4 linked regions of the Arabidopsis thaliana genome follow. The protein of the gene in region 2 interacts with the protein of the main gene of each other region in a biochemical or structural test. Each region holds a gene or a part of one and is shown on either strand. Other genes may lie near its edges. The genes, in order: NDPK2, GP ALPHA 1, PD1 and GCR1.

Region 1 (7,276 bases), on a different chromosome or scaffold from region 2:
TCTGACCATCAAACGTGCCTGGATCCATCTCCATTGATATCTCAGCATCTGGACTCAGCCCGAAATTCAAACTCAATGTTTCCAGAATCAAAGAAACAAGCTTCGGAGGAACAAGAGAAGGCGTCCCACCACCGAAAAACACCGTTTCTAGATTCGGGTTCGTATCAAAATCCGTCCTTGTCGCTTTTATCTCTCTAACAAGCAAATTCACATAGTTCGTGATTCTCGGGTCATCTTCTTTTCCTTCCTCGTAGACATTAGACGGTCTGGCTGAAGAAGAAGACATGCCTAGAGCTAAGATAGGAAAGTCACAATAATGACAGCGTTTGCGACAAAACGGAAGATGAACGTAGGCTGAGGTTGGTGGACCTTTGTGTAACGTAGTAAGATTGGTTGACGCATTTCGTCGAGCACTTGGTGGAGTATCTTGTAGAACAACCTTACTAAAAGCTCGAAAAAACAACTTCGATGAGCACTTGGGTTTACCTGTAAACGATGAGAAAATTGGAGAAATCGTTGTTTTCAGCATAATTACCAAATAAAACGAGAGAAAAAGAAAGAGAGCCAGAGAGACGAAGAGAGAAAGCTTTCAAAGATCAAAGTTCACTGGTCTCGTTTTATATGCTTCAACGTCGTCGTTTTAGTCAGAAAGTAGACTCACTAAAGACTTGACCATCTAATTAACACACTAATTACAATTGAAAAATATTATAATAAGAATGAAACGATTATTCACTTATTCAGACGGAAAAAAAAATGGCGCTAGAATCGATAGTCTCTCTCTCGGAGCTTCTCTCTTCCCTTCTCTCGTCGAAACCACCGTCTCCGTCGAGTCTGAAACCTATCACGCTTCCGTCTTCCGTATCCGCGAGAACGTCACAGCATTTGTCGATGACGACGAAGATTTTAACGGCCGAGCACGATGACGTCATCAATCGAGTGGCGTATCCTTCGCTGGCGAACGCGAATCTCGTATTCTTCAAGTCCAGTTACTACAACGTCGAGGTGGTGCCTAAAGACGGCGAATCGGAGGAGCAGCTGGTTAACGATTTCAAGAGGTCGTGTTTCAGAGCGGGTGTGTTGCAGGAATCTCGAAGACGACGCTTCTTCGAGAGCTCTCTGGAGAAGAAGACGCGGAAGACCAAAGAAGCTGCGAAGAAGTATCGGAAAAGGTCAGATTTTTTTTTCACTTTTTCTTCTTTCTTTCGAAAAACACTTGGAGAAGTTGAGTCAATAGATTTTGATTTTACAGGAGACCAAACCCTAAACCAAAACCACTATCAACTTCAGAGATCCGCAAGCACAACAGAAATGCATCCAGAGAAGACGAACAAGACGATCACTGGGAACTTCCTCCTGAGGACATTGAGATTCCATATACCAACCGGTCTTAGAAGTAAACCGGAATGATATTCCGGTACACTGATCTGAGCAATCTTAATCACGCAGCATCTGCGTTTTGTAAAGCCACTCTTTTGTATGTTCTTTTAGCTTGAGATTAGAAAATTTTCATTGCTCGGTGTAGAGTGAAGATGAATGATTTTGGAGGTGTCTGTAACGTAGAACCAAATGCAGATGAATCTGTAACTAGTTTTGATTACATGACAAGTGATCACAGATATGAGAAGAATCAAGCCATAGATTGGCAGTTATATTATATTGCCGCCCAAAATCAGGAACAAAACACCAAAGCTCATCATCGGTAACAAGAAAACAAGTAAGGACACCATTATAATTGACTCTGTCTTCTCAAGGATCACTCCCTTAGCCATGTAGCTAGAGCCGAATCCCACTTGCATAGCTCGCCCTCTTTGAACCACAGACCTATGCCACAACCACAAGAGCCAAAATGTCAGCAAATGAAAACTAAAAGTTTAGCATACTAAGGAATGAGAGTGATTGGTCAAACTAAGTAAATGAAGAAGTGATAGTAATGGTTTAAAACAGATATATTGAACCTAACAATTTCAGTAATCAAGTATGATCTAATCTAGTTATGTTATCAAGTTAATTTGAAGCAGTTTGAACCACGTTGATTTGCCCCTAAACTGGACATAGTCAATGTCTCAACAATGAAAGATGGGTGAATGATTTGAACAAAAAACAAGAAATCTCACCAATCTCACGCTTGCCGTTTTCAGGGCTGTCACTACCATGCACAATGTTCCTGCAAATTGCATAATTTAAAAATATCAAACCATGAGAATTATTTTAAGTGCTTACTTCCAACAATTTTAAAGATGATAGAAGTCCAACCTTCCGGTTTGCACAGCAAGATCTCCTCTTATAGTACCAGGTTCAGCTTGAAGCGGATCTGTTTTCCCTATTAGCTTCCTGGCTGAAGCAACAACACCAACACCTTCCCAAGCCTTTACCAGGTTTAAAACATCACATGCAATTAACTCATCTAATTACAACTTGAAAACAAGTAAAAATCAAATTAGAGCATAGTTATACCCATACCATACACACAACTGGACCTGAAGTGATGTACTCAATCAGGTTAGGAAAGAATGATTTAGCACTAAGATCCTTATAATGCTCCTGGCAATTGAGATAAACACACAAGAATATTAATTATGTCAATCGAATATGAAAAAAAAATGAGGCAGCGTCATCTTACGCAAATGTAGCGAATAAGTGAAATATGCAAGTCATGATCAGGCTTCAATTTCTCGATACTTGTCAATGATTTATTAGTTATATCACATTAAGAAGCAATCTAAAGTTATCAAACTACTGATGTAATGAGTGAGTGTCAAACCTCAGCCAATTCTTTTGGGCACTGAAACATCTTGAGCCCAATAAGTTTAAACCCCTTTTTCTCAAAGCGAGAAATGATTTCTCCTACCTAAGAACATCAAATGAATCATACATTCATAATTTAAGCCAAGATAGTGTAATGAAATAACATTCAAAGCTCCATAGAGTTCCAAGATACATAATTTAACCTCAAAATCAGAAGAAGAAAAAAAATGAAAAGCAAAAACGCTTACAAGGCCTCGTTGTATGCCATCAGGTTTCACCATAATGTAAGTCTCCTCAACGTCCTCCTGAAACAATACAGAAAACAACGTAAGAACAATCAAAAGGTCACTAAATTGCATTGAGATTCATCAAATTAGAATATATCCAAACTAATTTGAATCCTAAATTCCTGATTTCGGAGTTTAATCAATGTAAGTACTAAGAAAACAAAGTAATTCGCATAAATGGAGGGGAAGCACACAAACCATAGAAGCTACAAGGTGAGGAAGGAAGATTCCCGATTCGGCGGAGCTGGAAGCGCGAAGACGGCGGCGAGACGCGGAATTGCGAGAGAAAAGACGGAACTGAGGACGAAATGCGGCCAACGCTGTTCTAAAATTAACCCTGGCTGGAGAACAGTGTGGATTGAGACTTGCCGAGTTTCTCTCCGGCGGCGAAGCCACACATAGGGGAGTCCATTTACTAACTACAGTCGCTCCCACCATTTTCTGCGCTTTGTCTTAGCTTCTCTCAGTGTCTTCGCATCATCATCTTATAAGAACAAAGTTAATTGACATAAATACCCTTTATCCAGAAGCGAAGATAATTTGGGTTTAGTTGATCAATCAAAAAGTATCAGTGCTCAGAAGTAATTTAAAAAGTGATCTCGAGTACAAAGAGTGTCTCGTTTAAATGGAGGAAACAGACTCTTTCTCTTTCCCTGTACAGTTTACTCTTCTAAAAGATTAAAAAAAACAAAAGTCTGCACATTTCAACAGTCGCACAATTTGCTGCTTTAATACCAAACCAAACCATCTTTCTTGTAGCAAAATTGTTTTTTTCTTTTTCTTTTTTCGTCGATTTAGAATCATTGTCAACAGAGTCACGTTGAAAAATAGGCAATACAGACTCATCGTCTTGTCTTCTAGATGTATCTGGCTTTGCCTTTCTTTTGCTTGCTTTAGCCATTTCACGCCACATCAAATTTACATTTTGTGCATAGAAGAATCAATGCGTAAACATCCCCAACTTTTTCTTTTCATCTTGTTGCTTTTAACAAGACCCGGAAAAAAGACTTCATCAATCAATTTCTACATCTATATCTTCCTCTCCCTGGTCAACAAGGTCAGTTTTTTGCCCTGCCTTGTCCACAACTTCGGTTTCTACCTTTCCATTGCCATCAACTACAGTTTCGTTTCCTCCCTTGTCCGAAACTTCAGTTCCTTGCACTCCCTCACCATTGTCAACAGCTTCATTTTCTTCTACCCCCTTTTCGACAACTTCGCTTTTTTGCTCTCCCAAGTCGACAACTCCAGTTTCTTGTTCTTCTTTTTCAGTAACTCTACTTTCTTGCTCTGGCACATTCGCCAATTGTTCTTCTCCTTCAATTTTATTGATGGATTTTTCATCTTCTTGGTTCCCATTATCTTGTGTCTTTTGGCTTACCAGTTCTTCGTTTCCACAATCGAGTTGGTTCTCTCCCTCTTCTCTGTGAGGACTAAGTGTTTGTCCTTCACTTTTGTCAAGGGAAAGTTCTTTTCCTACTCCGACAACTTCAGTTTCTTGCTCTCCTGTATCATCATCTCTACTACTTTCTTGCTCTAGCACATTCTCCAATTGTTCTTCTCTCTCGCTTTGATTGATTTTTTCATCTCTTTGGTTCTCATAATCTTGTGCCTTTTCGCTTACCGATTCTTCATTACCGCTAGCACGTGGGTCCTCTCTCTCTTTTCTGTGAGGACTGAGTGTACGCCCTTCACTTCGGTCAAGGGGATGTACTTCTTCCACTCCCATATCAACAACTTCATTTTCTTGCTTTCTCATATCGACAACTTCAGTTTCTTGCTCTTCCTTGTCACCAACTCCACTTTCTTGCTCTGGCATATTCTCCAGTTGTCGTTCTATTTCATTTGGGTTTATGGGTTTTCCATCTTCTTGGTCCCCATTATCATGTGCCTCTTGGCTCACCGGCTCTTCATTTCCGCTAACGAGTTGATCCTCTCCTTCTACTCTGTGAGGACTATGTTCCTGTTTTTCACTTCTGTCAAAGGGATTGTCTTCTACTTTTCTCTGGCTAAAGTGTGGCGGGTCTTCTTCTTCATCCTCATCCTCATCCATTTTCATATACAGACCTAGATGTTCTAATGGATTACTGTTGCTTTCCATCTTGAAACTACCCAAACCCAACATATCCTCACTAAACTTGGGACTCATCACTTCCATGGAAGTCGGTAATTGATCACCTTCTGTACCTGTAGCTCTAAGCATCTGGAGGTCTTCCATAAACCGTATGCCCTCGTTTATCTCCACTGTCTTTTCCATCTGCAACAGACCAGAAAGTCATTTATCATGATTGTACACCATGGTAGGGCTCTGAATAATAGAAGAGAAACTCGAAAAGTCTTTTATACCTTTTGTAAAGCTTGACGTGCAGCTTCTCTCTCTTGCTCTCTTTCCCTCCTCGCTTTTTCTGCGGCTTCTGCTTTGGCTTTTCTCCGAGCCTCCTCAGCTGCTTTGGCCTCGGCTTGTAACCGTTCTTTTTCTAATCAAACGGAAATCGCAAGAATTAAAAATAAAAGTATTTAGTTAGGAATTATGGGTACATAAGCACACTCGAATGCACTACAATCCAACCTTCCCGTAGCCGTTTTTCAAACTCCTCTCTTTCTATCCTCAATTTTTCAGGATCCCCTTTTTCACCCTGAAATTTGATGCATTAAATTTTTTGATTAAAACAATCCACAAGTTCAGGCGAGCTTTTTCGTCAACACAGTAGATCGGACACTTAAAAATTCAACCTTGGTAAAAGCCTTCTCTCGAGCTTTCATAATGGTATCAGCAAAACGATTCTTCAAGAAAGCCGCGCGGTAACGCTTATCTGGGGAATCTGGGGAAATTTGCCTCTCAGGTGGAGCAGTCTCCTCTATAATACCAAAGCATGACAGGTAAACTCATGATCTGAAAATAAACATCTATTACCATCTCCAACCTTCCTTAACTTTCATTTCTTACCATCTGGAACGAGAACTACTGCATCCATGGTGGTTGACTTTTCCCCAACAGTATGCTCAAGTTGATCCAATTCATTCAAAGAATCTACAGAGAACAAAGAATGAGTGTCGGGAAGACTTCTATATCCGAGCACTCCAACTTGCATACATCAATTATAAAGAGACTAACCATTTACAACTATCTTCTCACTGTTGCTATCATCCTCTTTTTTGTCTATACCAACTCCTGGTTGCTTTTTTTCCTAAATTAAAGAGGAGACTATACTTATTTTTCTGTAGTAATTTCACTTTTATGATTGCAAATAGTCCATGGAAATATTGGTGAGTAAATGAAAAATCTTGCAGAAATTAGAGCAACATCCAAACACAGAGACTCCATAACATAAGTTATTCCACTGTTAGATATACCTCTCTACTTGTGGGTTTTGAAGCTTTAATAGAATCTGTTTCACTCCCAGAGGAACTACAAGAATCAGAATCTGAAAGATAATCACAGAACACATCAGTATAAAAAGCACTTCCTATGAGTAAAAATAAAGCAAAGGAATCAATTCTACAGTTTGCCAAACCACAATGTAAGAACTTAATTCATTCGTCATAAACGATAACCACAGAAACTAACTATAATATCCTCTATAGCAAGGGAATAACCACACTTACTAGAGCAGAGAAAAAGCATCGAAAAGATAATATGGGACACGACGTAGGCTCAAATTACAAAACAAGACTCAGGAGTCCAATACTAATCATTTCAATAGAAAAGTTACTTTATTTCCAATCTTAACTATTCTTACAAACTGTACAAATCAATGCACTATTTAAGAGAAACAAAATGATTATTCTAAGGAAATAGAAGAAGGCTCGCATAAACACGAACCACTAGATGAAGAGCCTGATTCACTACTAGAGCTACTCGAACTGCTGCTTTCATTATTTCTACATGCAGCATCTTTTTCTATCTTAAGAGGAGGATGGCTTGAGACCGAGGGGTCATTCCCACCAACTATGTCAACATCCTCGTCAATTTGCAGATCACCTGTGATTATGAGTACATCAGATACTCAGATTACTGAAGGAAATCATTTTCGACATCAAATTAAATAGCAAAAACATACCTTTACTAGGCTGCAAAGGGGAATTACTGAATCCAGAGTCATGAACAATCTGTAAAAGAAAAGTTAAAACCAAAAGTCAAATGTCAACATTTCCAAGTGCACACAAACGATTACTAAAAATAATCAGAGAGGTTCTTTACCTCCATCTCACAAGGTTCGCTCTTTTCCATGGATTTCTTTTTC
Region 2 (8,972 bases):
AGAGCTGATTCTCCAAGCTACCTCGAGGCATGTACTCATAAACAAGAACTCTTTGCTCTTCTTCACAACAAAACCCTATCAGCTTCACAAGATGTTTGTTACTTAGTTGTCCCAAAAATAATATCTCCGCCTGCAAACAAAAATAAATTTTGTATACACTGAAAAAAAAAACTTTATGAAGAAATTTCACAAAAGATATATATATTTAATAACATACTGAAAAATGGCCAGATTCATATAGCTAATTAAGAAGATAAACCAAAATTCAAAAAATATATAAAATAATCGAGACGGTCTTCGTAATTAAATTGTTCCTTGTGAATAGAAAAGTCTTGAATGTAGACAAAAACATACATAAAGAGAAAGAAATGTTACCAGCCATTCTCTATGGCCTTGATGGCCATGAAGATCAAGAGCCTTTACAGCAACCGGTTGGGCTTCGATACCCGGTTTAACCTTATCATCAATAAACCCTTTGTAAACCGGCCCAAACCCTCCTTCCCCCAACATGTTACTTCTAGAGAAATTATGCGTAATCACTCTCAGCTCAGACAACGTGAACAAACGAAGCTTCTGCGATGTGAAGGAGTGAGAGAGATCATCCATAACCGACATGGGCGAGCTTGGATCGCTTATGTCCGATAAAGACAGCCTCTTGAACGCTGGACAAGTTCTTATTTTCATTACAGCCTTCTCCCCTCCTTCGTATTTGCTTGCGTTCTTTGCCTTGTAACACCCCAAGAACAGAGATGTCAATGATGTTTTCTTCTTCTTGAACACTGCCATTTTCAACTTCTTCTTTTGTGTTATTTGGGGAAAAAATGGAGAAAGTTAGTCTTTTACTCCTTTTGATGAATCTTTTGTAGAGTGCGTAGGTTTAGAAATTAAGGATGTTCTAGTTAACCTACTTGTCTTCAAAGTCCTCTAATTTATAGTAGTTGTTGTGTCTTATTCGTACTGACCGACCTTTGAGTTTTCAAATTTATTTATATATACAAAAAGTTTGCTTTTTTTTTTTTGTATTAGTTGTATAAAAATGTTGAAGTTATTTTTGGTGGATATATTTATATTGTTCTAAGCTCTATGCTGATATTTTTTTCAGGAGAAACACGATTCCATGTTCACATTAATCCTCACAATAATATTGAAAAATAACGCAAGTTGTTTTCTTTTTCTAATCACAATATAATCAATATTATTGATTATAAATTCATTCAGTTGTTTGTACTTAGACTTCATCTCACCAAAGTCTACGGGCTATATAATTTTGCTTATATATTCAATGAATTGAAAATTGTCTCTCGCTCTACATTCCAAATACGATCTCTCGTTTCATTATAGACTTAGTTCTGTCTAATAGTTTTTGTTGTAATAATTTAGGTAATTTAAAAATGATTTTGTGAATTTAATGGTGTCTCTCTATATTCCACTATCTCGATTTCTAGTTTCATAAGACTAATTAGTTATTTACTAATAGTTTTTGTTCTAATAATTTAGGCAATTAATTTAAAAATGATTTGGTATACATTTCAGGCTGGCAAATAAATATTACGTATAAAGAAGATTTGATTCGCCTTGTTGAAAGGAGAATGAGATGATTAGGCCATAATTGGATGTCCGTTGACTTTGTTTCTTCCATGATTAAAATTTAAGAAGTAAGGAAGAGAAACAAATTTGAACCATTGATTTTGTTACTCTTAACTAAATAATCATTTATTCAATAACTAAAGGTCGGTTGGTCTTCAGGTACGAACGTTCTTCTATACTAACTTGTAAATTGTAAACGTAACAGATTGTGCAGTAGAGATTGCGGTTACAAATGTTTGACAACGATCACAAAAATTGTTTAACACCGCGTATTCTTCCGCCAACGTTTGCGGCAGCGGGTGGTTAAAAATTACACTATTTTTAAGTTTTAAATTCAAATAAATTTAATAACTTTTTTGACTCTTGGAGTCATGCTCTGAACACAAATGATTCATTTTCCGGAGAACATAAGTGCATTGTATCCGTCTAATCGTCCCAACATACTTCACTATAAATGTAATTTAATACTAACAATTAAATTGAAGTGTTGTTCGTCGCATGCATGTATGTACGTACAATAATTATATAGTTTCATTATCATAGAACTGTCGGGGAAATTGTGAATCATCACCAGCCGCCACATGAACTTATTTGCCGTTGTTCTGGTTTAAGGCTGGTAAGATTTATTCGGCGGCTGTAGGCCTGTAGCCCTTGAAATATGGTAGACAAGATCGTCCATATAATTAAGATTTTGTTTTTCACTTCTAAATTAATTAATGGGTGACTTGGGCGATTTTGTATTGTTGTTTAGTGGCTAGAAAGAAAACTTTTAACGATAAATTTACTTATGCAAAAATTATATTAGTTTAGTTTAGCAACTTTATATGTACTTAATTAGTAAAATAATACATTTAAATGTAAACTATTTGTACATATTAATGTTGTCCAAACAATATGCACTTTTTGAATTTTTTTACTGTATTCTCCACCTAGTTTTTCTAATTCATCCAAGCATTTTGATGAATTTGCATGTCTCCATAGATGAATTAGTATCTACTATCTCTAAAAACTCAATCTCCACCGAAGATATTGCTTAACCAATGTGCTCCTAGACCAAATCCAAAACCTTAGCCGCTTCATACTTAACATCCACTTTTGTAGCATCCTCAAACTGTTTTACAACCTTTTCAACCGGGACACAATCGCCTTGTCTTAGTAGTGAAGCGTAGGTTAATCATGGATGATGATTTTTGTTCTTTGACAACATCTGGTAAGGTTTTTGGTTTATGGCTCACCCTTTTTACTTTTTCGGTCTTTCTTATATAGTGTTTTGGTGGGTTTTTTCTCGTTCATTTTTCACGACCTTCTTATCCTATTACTAGGGTCATTAAATTGTTCGTTAGGTTAAAGAGATTTACAATATGAAACCGATTATGTCCATTAAAACGTGAATAAGACAGAAAAGAGCACCAAGAAAATGAAAAATAATTTAATGTATGTTCAGGAAATCCTATGAAAACATAATGATTGATCGGGTTTATTGGTTTTGTAGCTGGTGGTTTAAGTGGTTAGGGAAGCTATGTATTTATAATTTATTGATTCAATATGGTTTTGCATCTGAAATATATTTAAGCCCAACCAATAAATATACCATCACTCGCCAAGACCGTTTCTCAGTGGAAACATTTTGTGAGAAGTTCAAGTCGATGTTAATGATTGTAAGGATTTAACGGATGTGATGTTTTTGTAGGTTGAAGATTTAAAGTACTATATGATATGTTGTGTTTTTATCGATTTTGAATCTTTATTTTCTTTCCTAAATCAAAACTGCAATATATTTCCTAAGCTAGCAAAACCCATTCTAGATATAAGTAGAGTCCAGCTTGTAATGCAACTGCAAAGCAAAAATCAAGATATTTCGATACAAGGACTTGATGTCATAAAATTCCAAATTTGTTTTGTCTTGCCACACTTAGTAATTCTCTTCCAATAATGGTTAACTTAATAGTATATAAAATAAAAATGCATATAGGTTCCGTAATTAATCTTCTTTATCGTCACGAGAGGCACATCTTTTTTCAACATTTGACCACTCTCTCTCTCTCTCTCTCAGGACCTTTCGGCGTAATTTCGTCTTCCCCTTTGCTTAACATTTTCTTTCTTTCTTTTTGACCAAATATTAAAAATATATCCATTTTTATTTTATTTTTAATTAAATTCATAATTTGCATTTTATGTATTTATAATAAAAAGGAGAGAATAAATCCAAAAGAGTGAAGCAAAAACATTAAAGCGGAAAGAAAGTGGTAAAACAATAATAGAAACAGGAGAAGCAGAAGTACTACTTCTTCTTCTTCTGCTCTCTTCTCAGACCTTGTTTTGTACTTTCTTCTTCTTCTTCTTCTTCTTGTTTGCGAACTCCGATATCTTCTTCACTACCTTTGACTCCATTTCTTTTTCTTCTTCAGGTGAATTCTACTTTACTTTTCTTCTTACCCCAAATTTACTCTTTTGGGTTTTATGAAAGTTTTGTTTTTTATTACTCAGATCTTGTCCTAGTTCTCCTCCTTGTTCTGTTGTTTTTCTGTTTCGTTTCGAATTGGTTTTGTTTTTCAAGTTTAGGGTTTTGTAGATCAGTTCGTCGTTACTGTAGATTGGAAATGAAAATTATGATTCTTTGGATCTGATTATAGCAGTTCAAGTGTGAACTCTATCTATTACTTGATTTGCTATCTCACAGTTTTTGAATTTCTTAATGGTGTTAGCTACTCGACTTTTAGAGCTCATTTTCTTAACTACTGAACTTGTTTCATTTGAGAGGTACTAATCCAGTATATATTATAAAGTTTAATGCTTTTTCTTACTTGCATTCTTTGAACATGTTTGCTATTTTGGTGAGTGAAACTTTATGTATATTTATGAATTTTGAGCTAAAGTATTGATTGTTTCATAAGTAGGTGTAGGCATTGTCTTGTTATGAGAAGCAACTGTAGCTGGAAGCTCAAGTATTTGTTTTTAGCTGTGGAGCTTGAATCTTGATAGTTTTCGACTTCTATGTTATTACCTGTGGGGATATAGAAACAATCATGGGCTTACTCTGCAGTAGAAGTCGACATCATACTGAAGATACTGATGAGAATACACAGGTTGACTTAAGAGCTCTTGTAACACTCGATGTATGGGAGCATTATTTCTGATACTTCAAGAGTTAACTTGGTTTGTATTAATCTACAGGCTGCTGAAATCGAAAGACGGATAGAGCAAGAAGCAAAGGCTGAAAAGCATATTCGGAAGCTTTTGCTACTTGGTATGTAGACCTTGGATTAGAAATGTGAATGGCATGCCTTGATGAATCTTTTGGTAATAGTTTTCCTCTAATTTTCTGACTTGTGTTTTGTAAAGGTGCTGGGGAATCTGGAAAATCTACAATTTTTAAGCAGGCAAGTCCACAAGGAAAATTGATTGTACTCTTTACTTAAATTTACTTATGAATCCTGCTAATTGAATGATACAAATTTACTAATTTGCAGATAAAACTTCTATTCCAAACGGGATTTGATGAAGGAGAACTAAAGAGCTATGTTCCAGTCATTCATGCCAATGTCTATCAGACTATAAAAGTATGCAATACTTGAAATGACTGTGTCGGTTTTATCCTTCTAATTGGCGGTGTTTTCGAGTTCTTTTGGATTTACAATCTAGAGAATCATTTATATGAGTAATCAAATTTTTTTCATATGTTGATCTTGGTATATTGTACATGTAGCTTAATAGCTACTCTATATTGTTGAACAGTTATTGCATGATGGAACAAAGGAGTTTGCTCAAAATGAAACAGATTCTGCTAAATATATGTTATCTTCTGAAAGTATTGTAAGTGGTTAGATTCATAGGTCACTTGAGCTGTCTTTGTTAGAGTTTTGAGTCTTGTGAGTACCTTGTCTTATGGTAGTCAACTTATTATCGTAATATCAGGCAATTGGGGAGAAACTATCTGAGATTGGTGGTAGGTTAGACTATCCACGTCTTACCAAGGACATCGCTGAGGGAATAGAAACACTATGGAAGGATCCTGCAATTCAGGTGTGTTTGTGTGTGTGTGTGCACGTTTTATTTACTATTGCACTCAAAGTTGAATACATGATTTAAACGTTTCATTTTGTAGGAAACTTGTGCTCGTGGTAATGAGCTTCAGGTTCCTGATTGTACGAAATATCTGATGGAGAACTTGAAGAGACTATCAGATATAAATTATATTCCAACTAAGGTATAACCAAAGTATCATTCTTTGTTGAAAACATTTCAAGTAATGATCTTAAAATGGTTGAATAAAACTCATTGGATCAGCCTCGGAGGATCAATGTATTAACAAACAGAAGCCTTTTGCTTTCCATATTAGCCTAGTTGAGCTAGCATTTTCAGAGACCAGAGTCAATATGCAATTTCTGTGACATGTGTCTTCCGGAATGTGTTGTCATTGGTGCATTTTTTCTATGTTGGTGTTTCAGGAGGATGTACTTTATGCAAGAGTTCGCACAACTGGTGTCGTGGAAATACAGTTCAGGTACCAACTACTTTTTGTTTTACCCTTTTTCCTGTTTGATTGTTAGTCTTTCATAGATGAGTAATTGTTTGATAAGCTCTAAGTGTTAGTCTGGTTCACTAGGCAATATGATTAGCTAGGCGGTTTGTAGTAGCTGTGTTAACAGCTCAGCAACAATCTTGTTAATGTAGTCTCTCTGCGATGTGTAAGTTATTTGGTGAAATGAATAAAAGTGTTTACGGATTCGATTCCTATGATTGCCACTAAGATGTACTAATAGAACATATGAATTCCATACCAATATCAAACTTGTTGTTGTGGTGAATCTACTTGTAATGATCCGTTACCAAAGATGAATTCACAAATGGTATATGAGATAAAGCTTCGTTTATGCAGCCCTGTGGGAGAGAATAAAAAAAGTGGTGAAGTGTACCGATTGTTTGACGTGGGTGGACAGAGAAATGAGAGGAGGAAATGGATTCATCTGTTTGAAGGTGTAACAGCTGTGATATTTTGTGCTGCCATCAGCGAGTAAGCTCACTTCATTATAAATTATAAGATATCCTCGTACTGTCCACATATTGCCAAAACATTAACTGAGTTTTGATCATAGGTACGACCAAACGCTCTTTGAGGACGAGCAGAAAAACAGGATGATGGAGACCAAGGAATTATTCGACTGGGTCCTGAAACAACCCTGTTTTGAGGTTTTTAGTTACATTTTTATCTCATCTTTTAAAAATTTAAAGACACTCTTGAGATGGGTTTGGTTACAAAAACTTGGTTCTCTTTACGCAGAAAACATCCTTCATGCTGTTCTTGAACAAGTTCGACATATTTGAGAAGAAAGTTCTTGACGTAAGAAGAACTAAAGCATATTTATTTGTTTTGATAGGCAAGCAAGTCTTTTTGTTCAATAACGCTTTCTTATTCAATGTGCATAGGTTCCGTTGAACGTTTGCGAGTGGTTCAGAGATTACCAACCAGTTTCAAGTGGGAAACAAGAGATTGAGCATGCATACGAGTAAGCTTGTCTCCAAACTTTACTGATTCCCGCCAAACTGTTACCGTTATATGACCTTATTTTTAATTTGGATTCAGGTTTGTGAAGAAGAAGTTTGAGGAGTTATATTACCAGAACACGGCGCCGGATAGAGTGGACAGGGTATTCAAAATCTACAGGACGACGGCTTTGGACCAGAAGCTTGTAAAGAAAACGTTCAAGCTCGTAGATGAGACACTAAGAAGGAGAAATTTACTGGAGGCTGGCCTTTTATGACCTTATTATTACATATCTCTAGTAAATTACCTCTCCTTATTATTATAAGAAAAACTCGAAAACTGAATGACCGTGTAATTTATCTTTCGGGACAAAAGACTTAGCGATTCAAAATCTAATGTGTCTCGATGGCTACGACTAGTTTCTATTTTATCATTGTTTTTGTTAACATTCCTCTGTCTTTGACTTCTTATTTTTTTTTCTCATCAAAAACATCTCATTTTGATCTTGTTTTTGGGGTTATATTATTATTAAAATGAGGCATCCACATCCCGAAATCTAGAAAGTGAAACACAACACAAAACGTAACTTTATCAGTACTAAAAAGTTTTGGAATGTTCCTAACATGAAAAAGTTCTTACATTAAAAAAAAGTATGGGGGTGAAACTGAACAAATACAAAATATGATGTAAAAACTGAAATAAAAGTAAAACACATGGGGTCTACCGTGATTTCAGAACATTCGAAAAAGCGACTTTAAAAATAATTGCACCGAAGAAAGAAGAACCCTGAAAGCAAAAAACTCTTCGCCGTTGTTGTTTCTTACGTCAAAGAATATTCCTTCTTCTCTTTCGTTAATAGATCCCAAAAAAAAAAAAAAGCTTCATTGATTCTTCTTCCTCTGTTTTTGATTCCGTTTTCGAGCAATCCTCTGAAACATGTATGTTGTTGTTCTCTCTTTCTTCCAATGGTGTTCTGATTTTGCTTTTTCTGTTATACGATAATGATAACAATCGCTTCTTAGTTTGATTAATACGAAACTCTCAAAGATCACGAAATTGGTTTTGTTAGGGAACCATTTAGATCAAGGCTTGTTTGTGATTGTTGTTGTTGATTCAGCTTTGATTTGATTCGTTAGCCATTGATTTTGATTTGAGAATTTGTCTTTGTTTGATTTTTCTTGCAGAATCTTTGGTACAATTGGAGTTATATTCAAAAGCTTATAAATGTCAAATATGGATCCTAATTCAGTTTTACCTAAGAGAAGTTTCTTACAACATGAGTTGTTTTCACAATTACATATACCTGGAAGCTTAGCTTTCGAAGCATTTAGTTGTATCTCTAAGTTTACAGGAGCTTTGCTTTGTTGGTTTTCACATGGAAACTTGCAAAAAGAAGTATCTAAACATCAATGGGGATTAACTTGTAAGAGCCGTGATTCTTTAAAACATGTGTTTGAACATAGGAACGTCTCTGTGTTCCCATTTCACTATGTATCAAAAGATATTAGTCCTGGCTTCTTTGGAAACATATCTAAATCCACTATTCAGCATTTTGTTAATGAAGCTGAGAGGCTACATTCGTGTTCTTTGCTCTCTTTGGCGGCTGCGATGATACCGTCTTTGAATGTCATGTAAGTTTAGTAATATTGTTTAGTGCTAAAACTCTCTTTGGGGAAGTTTCTGATTGTAGATTTTATTAGGTCTGCAAATGGACTTGCTCTGCCACTAGGGAGTAATGATGTTAAACTTAGGGAGAACATTGAACATAGGACTTGTCCGGAGAACACTGAACATAGGACTTGTCAGGTGGGATGTGAAGAATATAGTGGTTTGAGTTTTCAAAAATTAGACTGGACAAGACAATCAGTGGAGCCTAGGACGGGGATCGAGTTCCCGATGT
Region 3 (6,554 bases), 660 kb from region 2:
CAATTTTTATGAATTCAAAGTACGATACATAAAATTGATCTGATATGTATTATTTCACAAATGCATGAAGCAAAACAATCTTTTTCACAAAGTGCACACAGTTTTTTTTCTATGTTTTGTGAAATAAAAGCATGTTAGAAAACTACGTATTTTTATTATGTAGTATGTATTTATGTTGCTTTTCTCATTTCTGTATTAATTATCATAAGATAGATGATATAACGATATCTAGTTTTGAAAGTTTACAAATTATAAACAAGACTTATTTAAGCACTAGCTAGTTAAACCGGGTAAGACTGGAGATAAGACTCTTGCAAGGTTCGACGAACAAAAAAAATAAAAAAAAAGAGGTTCAACGAACAAAGCTAGGCCTACAAGAGTACAAGGCCAAGTCTCTCTTAATTACAAACAAATAGAAACACGGTGTAACATACAAAAAACACATGGCAGGAACAGAAAGCGAAGATGGGACCAAACGGCCGACATAACTGAAAGATGCCGGAGACGTGACCAATCTCATCCTCTTCAACTTGTTTTGCAATTAGTCTCCTCAATAATTGCATAGTATAGTAACATCATTTGGACAATTACGTTGCATAAGTATTAAATCAAAGAATCAAGAAATACACGAACTATTATTGCAGCTAAACTTGACTTATCGAGGGTCGAAGCATAACATAAAATAGATCAATTATTTATGTTGGGCATAAGATTACGTAAGTAAACCTCTTTGCAAAATATTATATGACCAACTTATGTGAGGTTTAACGAAATATCTAATTTTAAACTAATCAAAATAGGAGTGGACCTAATATTAGTTTTTGTTCTGGTATGTATACGAGCTTCTTCGCTTTGATGCTTCACGTGGCCTAATTATATTATAACCATAAAAAGTGTTATGATTGAAAATGCAATTTTATTTAGAAAGATTGAATCTCATGGCTGATATAATAATAAGAAGCAAATTTCGTTAATACACATAATAGAAACGTGGCTATCTGCACAAATTTGATAGATAGCCTTCCACGATACTACCCCAATTTGCATTTGAATTAATGATGCTTTTGCTACGCGACAAAGTTATCTTCATTTTATTTTGAGCAGAAAATGTTCTCTCTTTTATTTTTAAGTTTGGGGATGTTGCCTCCCCCGGATGACAGCATCTCAAGCTTGATATATTATTATCTATCGAAGCTTATATTTAGAATTTAAGGGGGTGATGCTTGATAAAGAACGATAGATGAGAAGTACCATAATATGTAGTTGATTTTTTATGTCGATGGATTGAAGAAAACGGGATCATAATCTTTGTTTTAATTGCCCAAAGTCGAAACTGAAAGAGTCGATGTTGATCTATATCAAATACAGAATATTAACGTATGAATTTTAAACAATAATTGTTATTGATGTCGCTCATGTTTGGGCTTTTCATGTATATGGGTTTCTAATTTACGATATAAAGGCTTTCAGGTTAGTTTGTTTAAGGCCCATGTTTGTTCTTGATAGCAATTATCAAGTGCTTATTATTTGGATTGAGAAAAATCACAAGTTTAACACTATTACAGGGAGCTAAATAACAATTCAAAAAATAAATCACTCAAATTTATTGTTTGTCTTCAAACGCTTAAATAATTAGAACTGATTAGAAATGTCTCAATTATTGTTGGTTAAGATAGTTTGTAAACAAAAAAAAAATTATGGTCAAATAGAGAATAAATCAACTCAAAACTTGCAATTTCATAATAAAACTACGATCAAACGAAACTCCAAAGTATAATAATGTAAACAGCAAAATACAAAAGATTGATCTTTGGAGAAATAAGTAATTTATTTTCACCAAAATTATGTTTACAACTTTCTTCTCCAATTTACATACACAATTGACTTCACACGTTGGTTATGATCTTAGTGTTGTCACAATGAAAATGTTGATGACGAAGAGGACGAAGACGATGGTGACCAAGAAGTCATATCCATCGGATAACTCCCCAAAACCCGTAAAAACGACGTAAACTCTTGAACCTCAGAAAGCGCATTCTGAGCACGTGACTCGGCCATGGAAGCCTCGAAGTCGATATAAAACATATACTCAAAATGCTTAGCCGTGCCCACATTAGCCTCATCGACTAGCCTAATAGGAACATTATGGTTCGGCCTAGACTCAATCTTAGTCAAACTAATGTTCCTAAACGCAAAAGCAGAGAGAACCTTAAACAAAACGCACGTGCCTTTCTCGTGAGCAAACACTATACTCGTCTTAAACGGCCGATCAGTTCTCGGTATAATCGGTTCACGCGCCAACATCACAAAGCGCGTGACGTTACTCGCGTCATCTTGTATCCCATCTTCCAAAATCTCCAATCCGTAGATCTCCGCCGCGCGTGCACTCGCAATCGCGGCGGTGTCACGGATATTATTCGCAGCGATAAACTCCGCCGCACCGGCGGTATCATCAACAGCTTCACGAGCTACGTTGAGACCGAGTTTAGTCAACGTGTGTTCGCATTGAGCTAGTCCTTGAGGATGAGAGATCACACGAGTGAGAAACTCTTTCCGTACACCGGGAAGAGCAATGAGACAATGATGAACCGGAAGCTGAACTTCGCCGACGATGTGAAGACGGTGACGGAGGAGAAGATCGTAATTACGATGAATCGAACCGCCGAGTGAGTTTTCGACGGGTAAAACAGCGCGATCGGCGATCCAAAGCTCAACCGCTTGAAACGCAACTTCGAATTGATCGCAAGGAATCGCTTGACAGTTAGGATAAGCTTTACCAGCGGCGGCTTCGGAGTAAGCTCCGGGAACACCTTGATAAGCTACACGGAGGTTAGATCCATGCATCGGAGCTGGAGATAGATCTGAAATACTTAAAGGCTTCTTCGATTGAATCGATTGGTTGTTGTTGAATGGAACTAGATTCAAATCTGAGACTCCGGCGCCGTTGTTGTGACCGTTGACGGCGGAAACGTGGTAGGATGATGATCCATTGGAATTGGAAGATAAGGATTCAGATTGTTCTTGTGAGTTAACTTTGCTTGAGAGAATGGCGCAGGAGCTTTGCCAATCGGAGCTACTGGAATTAATGGAGAAAGAGTCAGATCTCTTACCGGCGCAATGTATGACGTGTCTTCTTCTCGCCGCCGTTGTTACCGTTGCCGGAGTATGGGAAGGTAAGAGAGTTCTCATTTTTTTATTTTGAGGTTTTTTGGTTATGGAAATGTTTTGTTTAAGAGTAAGTGAAGAGTGTTGTTGTTATAGGAGAAGAGAGGAAGAGCGTGGAATGATCTTGTGCCTCTCACCGTTCTTCACCTACCTACCACCATTTGCGTAATGGTGGGCCAAGAGAGATAAGCCCAAACGATGTCATATCTTTTTCAATCCAAATTTTTCTTGAATAGTCTCACTTTTTTTTTTAATAATCTCAAACCAAAATCCATATTAATCCCTAAATTTATGCAACTCAAATTGTATTTGTTTATCATCCAATTTATTTATTTAAGATATTTATGGTACATATAAAAGTAGCAAGGGAAAGGTTAGATCACATCCATCTACTTTTGTTTTATAGTATTTTAGGTACCAAACTCTTCCAAATAATTGGATATTTTTATATACCATTTGTATGTTATAACCAACTCTCAAAAGTCTAAAGTCTAAACTTTAAACCAATCCATATACGTAACTGACCCACCAAAATCTTTTAAATTCGCAATAGATTTAACAAACAAGGAATAAGATAGATAGTGAGAAAAAAGAATAACTCTAGTTACAAAAGCATTTGATCATAATCTATATAACTTACAACAACATGACTTCCATATTCTCTGTTTCAATAACCAAAAACTCTCCAATTGACAAACTTGTGACCCAAGAAAAAGCTTCCACCGTGTTATAAAATTGAGAGACTACTAATCAAAATAACAGAGACGACGGGAAAAAGAAAAGAAAAAGAGGGATCTCTCATCTGACATATTTACCACTTTTTGCCATTGTGTTGTTGTTTTATCAAATGCCCACCCATTTGACCCATCTGAAAAACCTCCCCACCCGAAACGGCAGTTCATAGTCTTTAGCAAGTGCTGGTTCTCTTGTTGCAGTCTCACTGTCAGACCAAACATAAACTCCGCGTTCTTGCTTGCTCCCCGGGACCGTGTTGTCCAAAATCACAGCCATGATGAACGCAATCACCATGCTCATTGACAAGAGCGTGTTCATCACGTAGTTCATCTGCAAATACACTAGAAGATATGAAAACTGAAGGTCCTGTGAAAATGAAAGTGAGCGCAAAGCGTAACGTACCCCTTTGTATTGGCTTTTGAAGGGTCCATGTGAAGAAACAATGTAAGGTTGGTAATAACTTGGAACAGAGAGATTCGAGTTTGGAGATATGCCATACTGCTGGAAGTAAGCTGGGACAGAGAGAGAAAAGAACAGCGACAACCCAACAATTATGATATTCCGCGAGCTTCCAGCTTCACTATAACGTAAGTTGGAAAGACCTAAAGCCGTAAACATTGCCCACATGAAGCACAGAAGAGAAGCAACCATGACTTGCGGAATTGATGCGAGAAACCCTCCAACCTTACCTGAGGACATCAAAAACTGTTTTAGTCAAAGAGAGTAAAAAATGGTACCTGTTGTACAGTTGAGCTAATTTTCAGATGCTATTGATGTATAGTTACTTGTATTTGCTAAAGAGGTCATGTAAATTATGAAATAGAGTTACATTCAAAAAAAAAATTATGAAATAGAGAACTTGAAACTTGAAGATAAATAAGCAGTGCCACTTACTTACCAACAAGAGAAAATATAACCAAAACACACGCGCCTAACTCAACAACTCTGCGGCTTCCCATTTTGGTCACAGCGATTGTGTGAACGTTTTCGGTTAGAGTGGTTGAACCAGTACCTGTACCCCAAAGACCGGCTAAGACACTTGTGAAACCTTCAAGACCGATTGCCCGACTCACAACACCACGAGTTGGAGGCCTCGATGCTACTAATAGAGAAGAAGCATGGTACGAACCAACCTGACAGTAAAATAAAAAATTACCATATATGCATACCGTACCGTAAACTGATTAGTAAAAGTGCAAAAGTTTGACTTCCAACACATAATTTTGATGGTTTAATCAAAGATGATAGGAAACACTAACCGAATCTACTGAAGCAATTACGGAGACCACACACATAACAAAAGCCATTTTCCAGTTGAATAACGGTACACCCCATTGCAAGGGGTAAGGAAACCTAAACCATGGGGCGGAACTCAGCGCATGAGAAGTATCAACCCGACAGTACTTCATTCTGGTCATGTATTTTCTGCAGTGGGTCGATACAACATTTGAGACAGGAACGTTTGGGTCACAACCTTTGTAGGTGTAAGCTCCTGTTTCAGTTAAAAGGAATGCAGCAGCCCAAGTGATTGCAAGACTCAATGGAACCTGTCAGTAAGAAGTTAAATTAGGTCAGTCAAAGTCACATGTAGAGTTGGAAATGTCAGATGATTACCACATTATCAGAGTTGATTCAATTGAGGTAAAGATTACTCGAGTCTTACTTTTCCTATATACCGAAAGAGCTAAGGAAAAGCAGACATGAACCTACTTACCGCATAAATAAGGAAAATACGATGGCTTAAAACTGAGATTTTCCGGAGGTACTGCAGAAAGAATGGGAAAGTATCAAATTTTGTTGACATGAACCTGATGTGATATGAAATTTTTGAAGTAACATAACTTCAAGAAGAAAATCAAAACTTGTAACTAGCATCCAAACAAACTCCATTTGCAAAGAGGGCGGATAAAAGTAACTTCACTAAACTTACAAGAGCAAAGATGATCACAAGTAGTATCTGCACAACACCGATCTCAAGACATTTACCAACAAGCGGGAAACCATAGCTGTAAAAGGAAAGTCCAACTGCAGCTACCGTCGGAGCAACAACTACTGGATTGACCAACCTATACAGAAGGTCAAGAGAATTATGAATACAAGTTAATACTGCACCACACAAAGCCACAACAACCATGTGTAAACAAAACAGCAAATAGGACAAACTCAGAGATGTATACCTCAAAATCAGTGACATTAGGCCACTGTATCCAAGCACTGCTTGAAAAGCTGAACCAATTATGATTGCACCTTGCAGCTCCCTCATGATATGCTTGAAGTTCTACCGTATTAACCAAAACACAAAACTAGAACAAATTAACAAACCATAGAAAAAAGAAGAATTGCTATAGACAAACACAGAATAATCAGAAATGCCAAGAGTAGAAAAGGATGTTTTCAATCCACCCTTGCCTAGTGCAGAAGTCTTCCTAATGACGATTTGTTATTTCTCGCTAAGTAAAATTTGCCATAAAAGTTGAAAGAGAGCTCCAACAGGTTACTTGCATGATTTTTACAACAGATTACCCTAAGCAGCAAAAAATTACGAGGCTACATTCTGAAATAACAGCTACATTTCGATAGTAACATCACCATATCCTCAACGGAACCCAATGACTGACATTTTACTTAATCATAGATAGCAGAAGAGGTTCTTC
Region 4 (7,736 bases), on a different chromosome or scaffold from region 2:
TTCAAGTCTTTAAGTACATGACGCTCTCACTCTGATCTCTGATCCATAAACATCAAACTAAATTGAGTAGGCACAAATTCACCCTTCTTAGGAACATAATGGTAATGTATACCTTTGATTTTAATCTCTCTAATATCATTACTTTGCAGATCACAACAAAGAATGTACAACATATCAAACAAATAATCTGGTGTCATTATAACCTTGCCACTTTGAGTTATACCTTTTAACTCCAATCCAATCTAACGTTCTTGACCAAATGCAGCGGACAAGGTTGCAAAACCAGAGTTTTCGCCAACCACTCCTTTGTCCTGACATCTTCTAGAACCCATAAATTCACTGTACTCTTGTCTTCAAGATCGGTATGGTAAAAAACAGTTACTTTTCCGCCATATTCTATAAGACACACCTTCTTGATGGCTCTATGCAGGCTCACATCTTCTTCCCTGTGAGGTACTCGATCATTTTGAATTCTTCATATCCGATGTCGAAGCTCACAACCATATAATTAGACGAATCAATCCAAGCCAGGTAATGTATAACCCCATTCAATGATAGTCCTTGTCTAAGAGGAAGGTGAGGATAAAAGTCCACGGGAGGCAAAGTCACCTTTTTCCACGAACCTCCAGGTTTTAGGTCAAAGACCCAATGGTCTGATGATAAAATAAAATATCCGACGACAACTGAGCAGAGTAACTTTGTACTGTTCGTTAATAGGGTAATGTCCAAAATAGTAACACCACTTCGACCTTTCTGGAGCCGAGGTTTTGGTTTTTAATTTTATGGTGGGCAAGGTCACAAGTTGTCTGGTGGTAGGGTTATACATTCGCGGTTTTTTCAAAAATGTGTAGCAGATGAAGCCACTAAGTTTTTGTAAGATCTTGCCTCCCCTATCTCGGATGGTCAACAACAAAGGAGGAAGATGGACTAGTAGCGGATGGAGCTAATGATAGGATTTTAGAGGGACGGTAGTCCTCGAAATGTGATACACAAATGTAAATTCGTTGAGATGGGACCTTAATGAAACGACTGGTAAAGTATGGACTATGGAGAGCGTATGATAGATGACCAGAGCTTTGAGACGCACTTGAATCCATTAGGGTTTTAACAGGGAATCTCGTAAGAATCTCTGTCACCACATCCGTTGGAATCTCCAGTAGTGCTTGGCTTCGTCTTCTTTTCTTCTTTCTCCACTGTTGGATCACTGTTAGACGAAAAGACAAACCCATCTCAATCCCCACCCGAGTTTGAAGACAGAGTCGTTCAGTCTTGGGGAGAAAGAAATCGCGGTGATCTCTAGGGTTTTGAAGATTGATACGAATTTTGTAATTCCTCTTTAGAAACGGCGCCGGTTTAAGTGATAGTATTTTCATATGACTTACGTAACAAAACTCTTCAACATTGTCGTCCAAGAACTCCAAGTTCGTTAATTTCAAATCAAGATCAGAAGACCTCACAATAAAAAAGTTCATACAAAAATAAATAAATTGTTAAGTTCGTGTTCCCAAAGAATGTTTCATATACATTGACAACCTGTTGTGCACCCCCCTTCACCATATCTAAGAGAGAAACACAAAACAAAACACACTTACTGATCCATGTAAACGGAAATTAAAGACAAAACAATCATAGAGGAAACTTACCAATCTCTCCATCCAAACGCTATTATCATCGCCGCCTTCTTGTTATCGGTCCAATGTATTAGTTGAAAGTTAGTGTCATTGCTGGTCCTCGGTCTTGAGTGATACCATTTCGCTTCGCTGTTGTTGTTGCTGATGTAGAATCAGATGGTTTTTTGGTCTGAAATTGCTTGGAAGCCATCGATATAGCCGTTCTGGCAAGAATCTAGCAGACCAAGGGTTTCATAAAAATCAAGCTTCATTGATTATTGGGAATAATATAGCAAACCAAAGAGATCGGTGGTGACTTACAGCTCCAGTCTCTCATGGATTGCTCGACGCACTGAGCTGTTGAAACCATAGGCTATTGAATTGAACAAGCCCTGAAAATACAACATTCAGAACATCGACTCGGGAAGAGCAAAGATGATCTATGGCGAATTTTATAACTTATTTATTTGATAGGTTTGCTACCATTAGTGCAGCTGTCCCAACGTCAAGAACTGAGAGCCAGAAGATCTTATGCCCTGGCTCGATGAAATCATGGATACGGTTAATAGTGCCGAATGCCCATGATCCTATTAGAATGAGTGGATAGTATCCCCATCTGTTCAACACCTGTGGTTTCAGGAAACAAGCAGTGAGGTTTTAATGATGAAATCCAGCCACATGATACAGAACTAGTATTGGCAATAAAGACAGACCTTTAACTCTGCTCTATTATCAAATTGATCGACTCGGTCTGACATTCCAACTGCCATCTGAAATTAACATTGCCATTTCAGCACACAGCCAAGTGTATCAGTAACGTTTGTGAACTACTTTCAGAAGACAATGTTATTAGAGATGAGAGAGTTACATACACGTCTAGCATTTCTTAGCATCCGTATCACTTGGAAGTAAGTAAACCCATTGTAAAGAATGGCTCCCCAAAGAGGAGCGTAGAAAGTTAAAAAATGAACAGCCTGCAAAATTCAAGAGGTGATATGAGTTCCAGTAACGAAGAATAAAATACTAGTCTACATTCATCTGGCCCAGCGTTGCAACAAAAAAGTTCAAATGCCTTTTGATAGGCATTGAAATCTTTATGCTCAACTAAGCATTCTCACTTGCCTTTCCCTTAAGACCAGTTTGCGTCCAGCACCATGGCCCCAAATGTGAGTGGTTGTTACCAAAAGAACGTATGACAGTCACAACCAAGGAAGTCCCTGAGAAAAGTAACTAAAATCAGAGTCTTACTAAATCACCAAAGAAGATACTAACACATTCTAATCCTTAACCCTAGGTGGATATAGTAACAATTGAGAACCGAAACCCACGAGTATCATTTTACATACCCCATACATACAAATGAAACATTGCTTCCAAATCCTCCACATCAGTTTTATGCTTGACAACAGTACGATGAAGAGTGAAAGCAATTGTAGTTGTCCACAAGAACGAAGCAACGCAGAAGAAATGAGTAGTGTAGCCTTGTGCGTAACAAATGAACCCCTTTGAAGGATCCCTACAGTGATCAAGATGTAACAATCATCTTATCAAAATAATCTCAACAAGATTCACCAGAACCAATAGTAGTAGATAAACATACCCAACGATTAGGAAGAAACTGCAAAGCATATCCTGCAACAATTAAAAACATTGCCATTAGTCAGCAATAGAGCTCGAACCCTCACTACTCATCTCAGAACGCAATGGAACTTAACGTCTTAGCGATGTAACAATTCACAGTGAGAATAATCGAAGAAGAAGGAAGCAAAACAGTACATAATCCTAGATCTAGCACAATCAGCGAAAGGCAACAACGGGAAACTTACAGAGAGAGCAAGGTAGAAGACGAGCTTGAAAGAGAATTTTCGAAGTTCTTTGAAGAGGCAGTAGCAGAGAACGATGAAGGCTGAGCCGACGAATGAGAGACTCGAAGCGCCGGTGTTAATCGCCGTAATAATGCTGCGATCCCCGGCAGTTAAGCCTCCGCCGGCTGTGAGAACCGCCGACATTGTTATATGTGATTCCAAAACTGATCTGAGAGATTGAATTGACGATTTCCGCTGTTCGTGTTCGTCGTTTCCGTCGCGTGGTATCTTCCCCGACGGACGTTGCGTGGTGGGCTAACCTCTTACCCGGGTCGGATCGGTCGGGTCAAGTCGTGTCTTTTGAACCGGACTCCTCGTAGTGCACTTCTTTAGGCCCAGCCCAATGATTTTGTTAAGCATTAATTCATATATGCTATATTAATTATTAAAAACATTTATATGATGTTATTTACATGTCAAGTTATCACATATTTTTGGAAAATTTTAATTTTATACATGTATGAATATTTAAATTATACTAGGTAATAACTTATGTTATGCACATGTAAATATTATACTATTTAATTTTATAATTAATCTTATTTATAGTATACTCTATATAAAAATAAATATATATATATATATATATATATATAATATTATAACAAATTATGTATACTATTGTTTTTAAATAAATTATCTACACGACTATACTATCAATCACCGAGCACAAAAATACCTAGGCATGGCCTTCTGACCCGTTTTGCCCCTTTCAAGTAAATGAATTTTGGACTTGTTATAACATATAAAATATGATTATTTGCTAAATAACTTGATTTGGCTTATTACTTGCTAAATAATTTGATATTGCTTGTTACTTGTAAAATAATTGCAACTTGAATCGAAAAAAAATCTCATATACAATAGAAATTACAAAACATTCAAAGTTTCAAGCATCCTAAGCACAAAACATTCAAATAAAAATAAGTTATATATAAGCAAGTAATATATATAACAAGCTTGTACTTGCAAGTCATAAATTTATACTATTTATTAGCTGATTATTAACGACAATTATTTGTTTTTCAAAACGAATATAAAACACGTACGTAAGAACTAATAATAAGCAAATAACGAGCATTGGCTAGGTTGTCAGAATGTTGAATAGAGGCGGCGAATAAGTCTAAGTGGCATTGCTATCTTGTTGAGTTAGTATAGAAGTCCACGATTGCTTTTACGTTTTTGCGTTAGTTCTCAGAGAAGTTGTAGACTTCTATCTTGAAGTTTTGTGGACGGATCTTGGATAGTTTTGCTCGTGGCAATTAAGATGATGATTCCAGTTCTTCGGTTTTGTGGCAACCACACAATTTTCTGAGCTTCGCGGGTTCGGAATCGGTGTTTCTTTTTGCAATTTGGCTTTGACCACTTAGTAGTGATCCTTTGCATCTTGAGTTGTAATGTTGTTTTTATATTTACGTAGATTGCTTTAATCTGTTTCTAGTTTTCTCTGTAATTCTATCACAAACTAAAAATAGTATAAAATTTCACCTTTTACCAAAAAAAATAACAAGTATTAGTACCCTAATTTACGATAGTTAATGGCTGTAAGGCTAAAACTACCAAGCGGAGAAGACCATAAAAATTATAAAACATAAAAATATAATATAATTAGGTTAATGATGGAGACATTCTTCCACACATTGACACATATTGCTTCTCGTGTCCTCACTCTTTGTATATATAAGTTCATGGATCTCCCTGATTATTATTTATGTATTGCTTTTGGTCGTAAACCCCGTGGCTAGACTTATCACAATTCGTAATATAATTTACGTATACATGTTATAATGACTGTTTATTATATATATTAAATGATTTTCGTGTGCTAATTTACCCAATGACATATCATCTACTAAATGGCAACAAACGTACAAAAACCAAACAGACGAATTTTGTCAATCCACACAAAATTACATAAATTTAATTAGTACAGCAATTACGAATTATCTTCATACATTGAAATTTTATGATGGCTTGTCTAAACATGTTAGTTACGTTGCAATATTATCCCGACCCGCTCAGACTGAGAATTACATAATAGCCTTTCTATAGTCAAATACAAATAGTTCATACACGAGGTGATTGTTAGTAATACATTATTGTGAAGTACTGAAATTTTTTAGCTAATATTACTTACAAAATTCCTGGATTAATTCATTATCATGTCCGAATATATTCTAAAAAAAAACTTCTTGATGACTTAATTAACAACGGATCAAAAAATTTATTCGTTAAACCATAAAATAAAAAAAATGGCAAATATATAAATAAACATTTACTATGAGTCTATGACATACTAAATCATTGATATTGGCATAAATAACTCTGGAAATGTTTACTTCAATTGAGAGGTATACGGAAAAATACTCTTCCTCTAGGAACATGACCCATCATCTAATCCAATTTTCTAATTTGGATAATTTATAACACATGTCATTATCCTTTCGGTTTTATTCGATCTTTAGTTATAGTTTGCATACAAAAAGGGTACACCTGATTTTGTCCGTATTAAACTATTGTTTCATTCGTACTCCATTTATGAAATAGATCTCCATTTATGAAATAGACGTCTACATATGACTTACATATACATGATTTTTTTTTTGTTTCTTTCGTTTTCCTTATACTTTAATTATTAAACAATATTTTTCTTCCGGTTTCCCCAAGTTTTTAACCCTTCCAAGACATCTCTCGTACCATTAAGCTTATATTATTATTTTTTATAAGAAATTCCATATAAGAAACCTATTCATTTTCATTCCTGCAGAGATATAAAGAACTCACATAGTCACATATGAATATAATATCATCATATAAGAGCTGCATGTGTAATCAGCGAGCATCATCCTCATCATTAATGAGAATGTAAAGAGCTTTTTTTTTGGGGAAGACGACTATCACCAGTATTCATCTTCCTTCTTCCAGAGTTTCATCTCCAAGGTACTATTTCTCTTTAATGCCTTAAGTGATATGTATCCTTCATCTGCCTCTCCATATCTCTTTTTGAAAATTAAGGAGAATAAACAGCGATTTCATTGATCTTTGGTCAATGTCTTTGTTGGATATATGGGTTTTAGTTTCTATTATATACAAACCCTAAACTCTTTTTGTTTCACTAAACCACAGTTATCAATTTATCATCTGCGACCAAACTTGAATATATAGAAATCTCATGTTGTAGTTTTACCTATACTACATTGTGTTTCATTTTTTTTCTTTAATTACCCACTAATCTACAAATACGGAAGTTCTTTCGCACAACACACGCAAATTAATCTTAACGATTCTTACTTGAGAGCTTTACATGGTATATCATTTACGTATATCTATCTATCCTATTTTGAAATAACCATGTTATATATAGTACGTACTTATGATATCTTTTCTACACTAATGTAATATATACAATATACTTTGCTACGTTTCGGAATCAGGTTCGGAATTAACATTTATTTGTGTTCATATTTAATTCGATGATCAAGTATTATGTATATGTCTTACTAAAACACAATATTTTAGTTTGTTTATTTATTTTATATAACTCTTTACTTCTTCTGCGTTTTCCTTAAAGATTACTTCATAAATTAAATATTATATCTTAAGAAAATTTTGAGGACATACTATATTTAATCATTAAACACAAACATATATAAACTTGTTTTTGCCAACCACACATCCATTTTAAAACAAACTCTATGATTGGTAACAGTCCGGAAAAACAAAATTTACATCGGAAACAATACATCAAGATATCTTATTATATAGTTAGATGTTTAACAATATGCCTTAACATTAAAGAACATAATCATATTTACAAATTTGGTTAAATATATGTTAACCTCCATTCTTCACTTTCAATTTTGATTATATAATCCTTTTTTTTTTATCATATGTAGTTATGATATTCTCGTTTTCATCATATGGGAGTTATGATTTCCTATCTAATTAAGGCTTTTCCTTGCCTTTTAATTTTCTTTCCCGTATAGAACCCAATAAAATTGCAGATAGTTGCAAGTAGATTTACCTAGCAAGGCACAACTTCATAGCCCAATAATTGCCTTACGGACCAAATAATTTCTATATCATTATATGATCAAATTATGATCAAAGTCTCCAAAATGCTCAAATAAGTCAATAACTTAACTTGTAAACCAATGGTCACTAACAGCTTTGAGTTTGAGTATGATTAGGACATACTCCTCAGTCCTCAATCTTCCCTTTTGTCTTAAACATGTTTTTCAAGCTTTTCTAATTAAATTCA

Evidence for each region.
Region 1: the proteins of GP ALPHA 1 (region 2) and NDPK2 form a complex in vitro, tested with the Arabidopsis thaliana proteins (one study listed by BioGRID).
Region 3: the proteins of GP ALPHA 1 (region 2) and PD1 form a complex in vitro, tested with the Arabidopsis thaliana proteins (one study listed by BioGRID).
Region 4: the proteins of GP ALPHA 1 (region 2) and GCR1 form a complex in vitro, tested with the Arabidopsis thaliana proteins (one study listed by BioGRID).

Annotation. Positions count from the first base shown.
Region 1 is NC_003076.8:25,370,366-25,377,641, forward strand, and holds NDPK2 (nucleoside diphosphate kinase 2), read right to left. Parts: upstream 3,540-7,276; 5' UTR 3,474-3,539; coding exon 3,234-3,473; intron 3,054-3,233; coding exon 2,997-3,053; intron 2,852-2,996; coding exon 2,765-2,851; intron 2,545-2,764; coding exon 2,464-2,544; intron 2,370-2,463; coding exon 2,257-2,369; intron 2,168-2,256; coding exon 2,118-2,167; intron 1,825-2,117; coding exon 1,757-1,824; 3' UTR 1,539-1,756; downstream 1-1,538. Other genes in the region: AT5G63290 (Radical SAM superfamily protein), read right to left, coding at 1-529; AT5G63300 (Ribosomal protein S21 family protein), read left to right, coding at 757-1,410; NPX1 (nuclear protein X1), read right to left, coding at 4,048-5,289, 5,379-5,509, 5,602-5,668, 5,766-5,890, 5,980-6,063, 6,148-6,220, 6,387-6,457, 6,856-7,014 and 2 more. UniProt on the Arabidopsis thaliana protein: Major role in the synthesis of nucleoside triphosphates other than ATP. The ATP gamma phosphate is transferred to the NDP beta phosphate via a ping-pong mechanism, using a phosphorylated active-site intermediate. May activate MPK3 and MPK6.
Region 2 is NC_003071.7:11,193,474-11,202,445, forward strand, and holds GP ALPHA 1 (G protein alpha subunit 1), read left to right. Parts: upstream 1-3,522; 5' UTR 3,523-3,995; exon of another isoform or gene 3,996-4,347; intron 4,348-4,484; 5' UTR 4,485-4,613; coding exon 4,614-4,673; intron 4,674-4,761; coding exon 4,762-4,834; intron 4,835-4,929; coding exon 4,930-4,967; intron 4,968-5,057; coding exon 5,058-5,147; intron 5,148-5,322; coding exon 5,323-5,400; intron 5,401-5,502; coding exon 5,503-5,610; intron 5,611-5,692; coding exon 5,693-5,794; intron 5,795-6,035; coding exon 6,036-6,091; intron 6,092-6,466; coding exon 6,467-6,601; intron 6,602-6,683; coding exon 6,684-6,777; intron 6,778-6,868; coding exon 6,869-6,928; intron 6,929-7,014; coding exon 7,015-7,094; intron 7,095-7,171; coding exon 7,172-7,349; 3' UTR 7,350-7,629; downstream 7,630-8,972. Other genes in the region: ARSK1 (root-specific kinase 1), read right to left, coding at 1-130, 376-786; FAP2 (Chalcone-flavanone isomerase family protein), read left to right, coding at 8,297-8,703, 8,773-8,972. UniProt on the Arabidopsis thaliana protein: Exhibits a fast rate of basal nucleotide exchange. Guanine nucleotide-binding proteins (G proteins) are involved as modulators or transducers in various transmembrane signaling systems.
Region 3 is NC_003071.7:11,853,443-11,859,996, reverse strand, and holds PD1 (prephenate dehydratase 1), read right to left. Parts: upstream 3,427-6,554; 5' UTR 3,190-3,426; coding exon 1,915-3,189; 3' UTR 1,709-1,914; downstream 1-1,708. Other genes in the region: NAT12 (nucleobase-ascorbate transporter 12), read right to left, coding at 4,009-4,589, 4,799-5,033, 5,160-5,447, 5,615-5,665, 5,831-5,966, 6,078-6,178. UniProt on the Arabidopsis thaliana protein: Converts the prephenate produced from the shikimate-chorismate pathway into phenylalanine. Together with GCR1 and GPA1, required for blue light-mediated synthesis of phenylpyruvate and subsequently of phenylalanine (Phe), in etiolated seedlings.
Region 4 is NC_003070.9:17,826,596-17,834,331, forward strand, and holds GCR1 (G-protein-coupled receptor 1), read right to left. Parts: upstream 3,826-7,736; 5' UTR 3,620-3,825; coding exon 3,437-3,619; intron 3,243-3,436; coding exon 3,211-3,242; intron 3,127-3,210; coding exon 2,957-3,126; intron 2,828-2,956; coding exon 2,733-2,827; intron 2,585-2,732; coding exon 2,483-2,584; intron 2,381-2,482; coding exon 2,324-2,380; intron 2,238-2,323; coding exon 2,094-2,237; intron 2,003-2,093; coding exon 1,932-2,002; intron 1,846-1,931; coding exon 1,719-1,845; 3' UTR 1,644-1,718; exon of another isoform or gene 1,560-1,643; 3' UTR 1,358-1,559; downstream 1-1,357. UniProt on the Arabidopsis thaliana protein: Together with GPA1, may regulate the cell cycle via a signaling cascade that uses phosphatidylinositol-specific phospholipase C (PI-PLC) as an effector and inositol 1,4,5-trisphosphate(IP(3)) as a second messenger.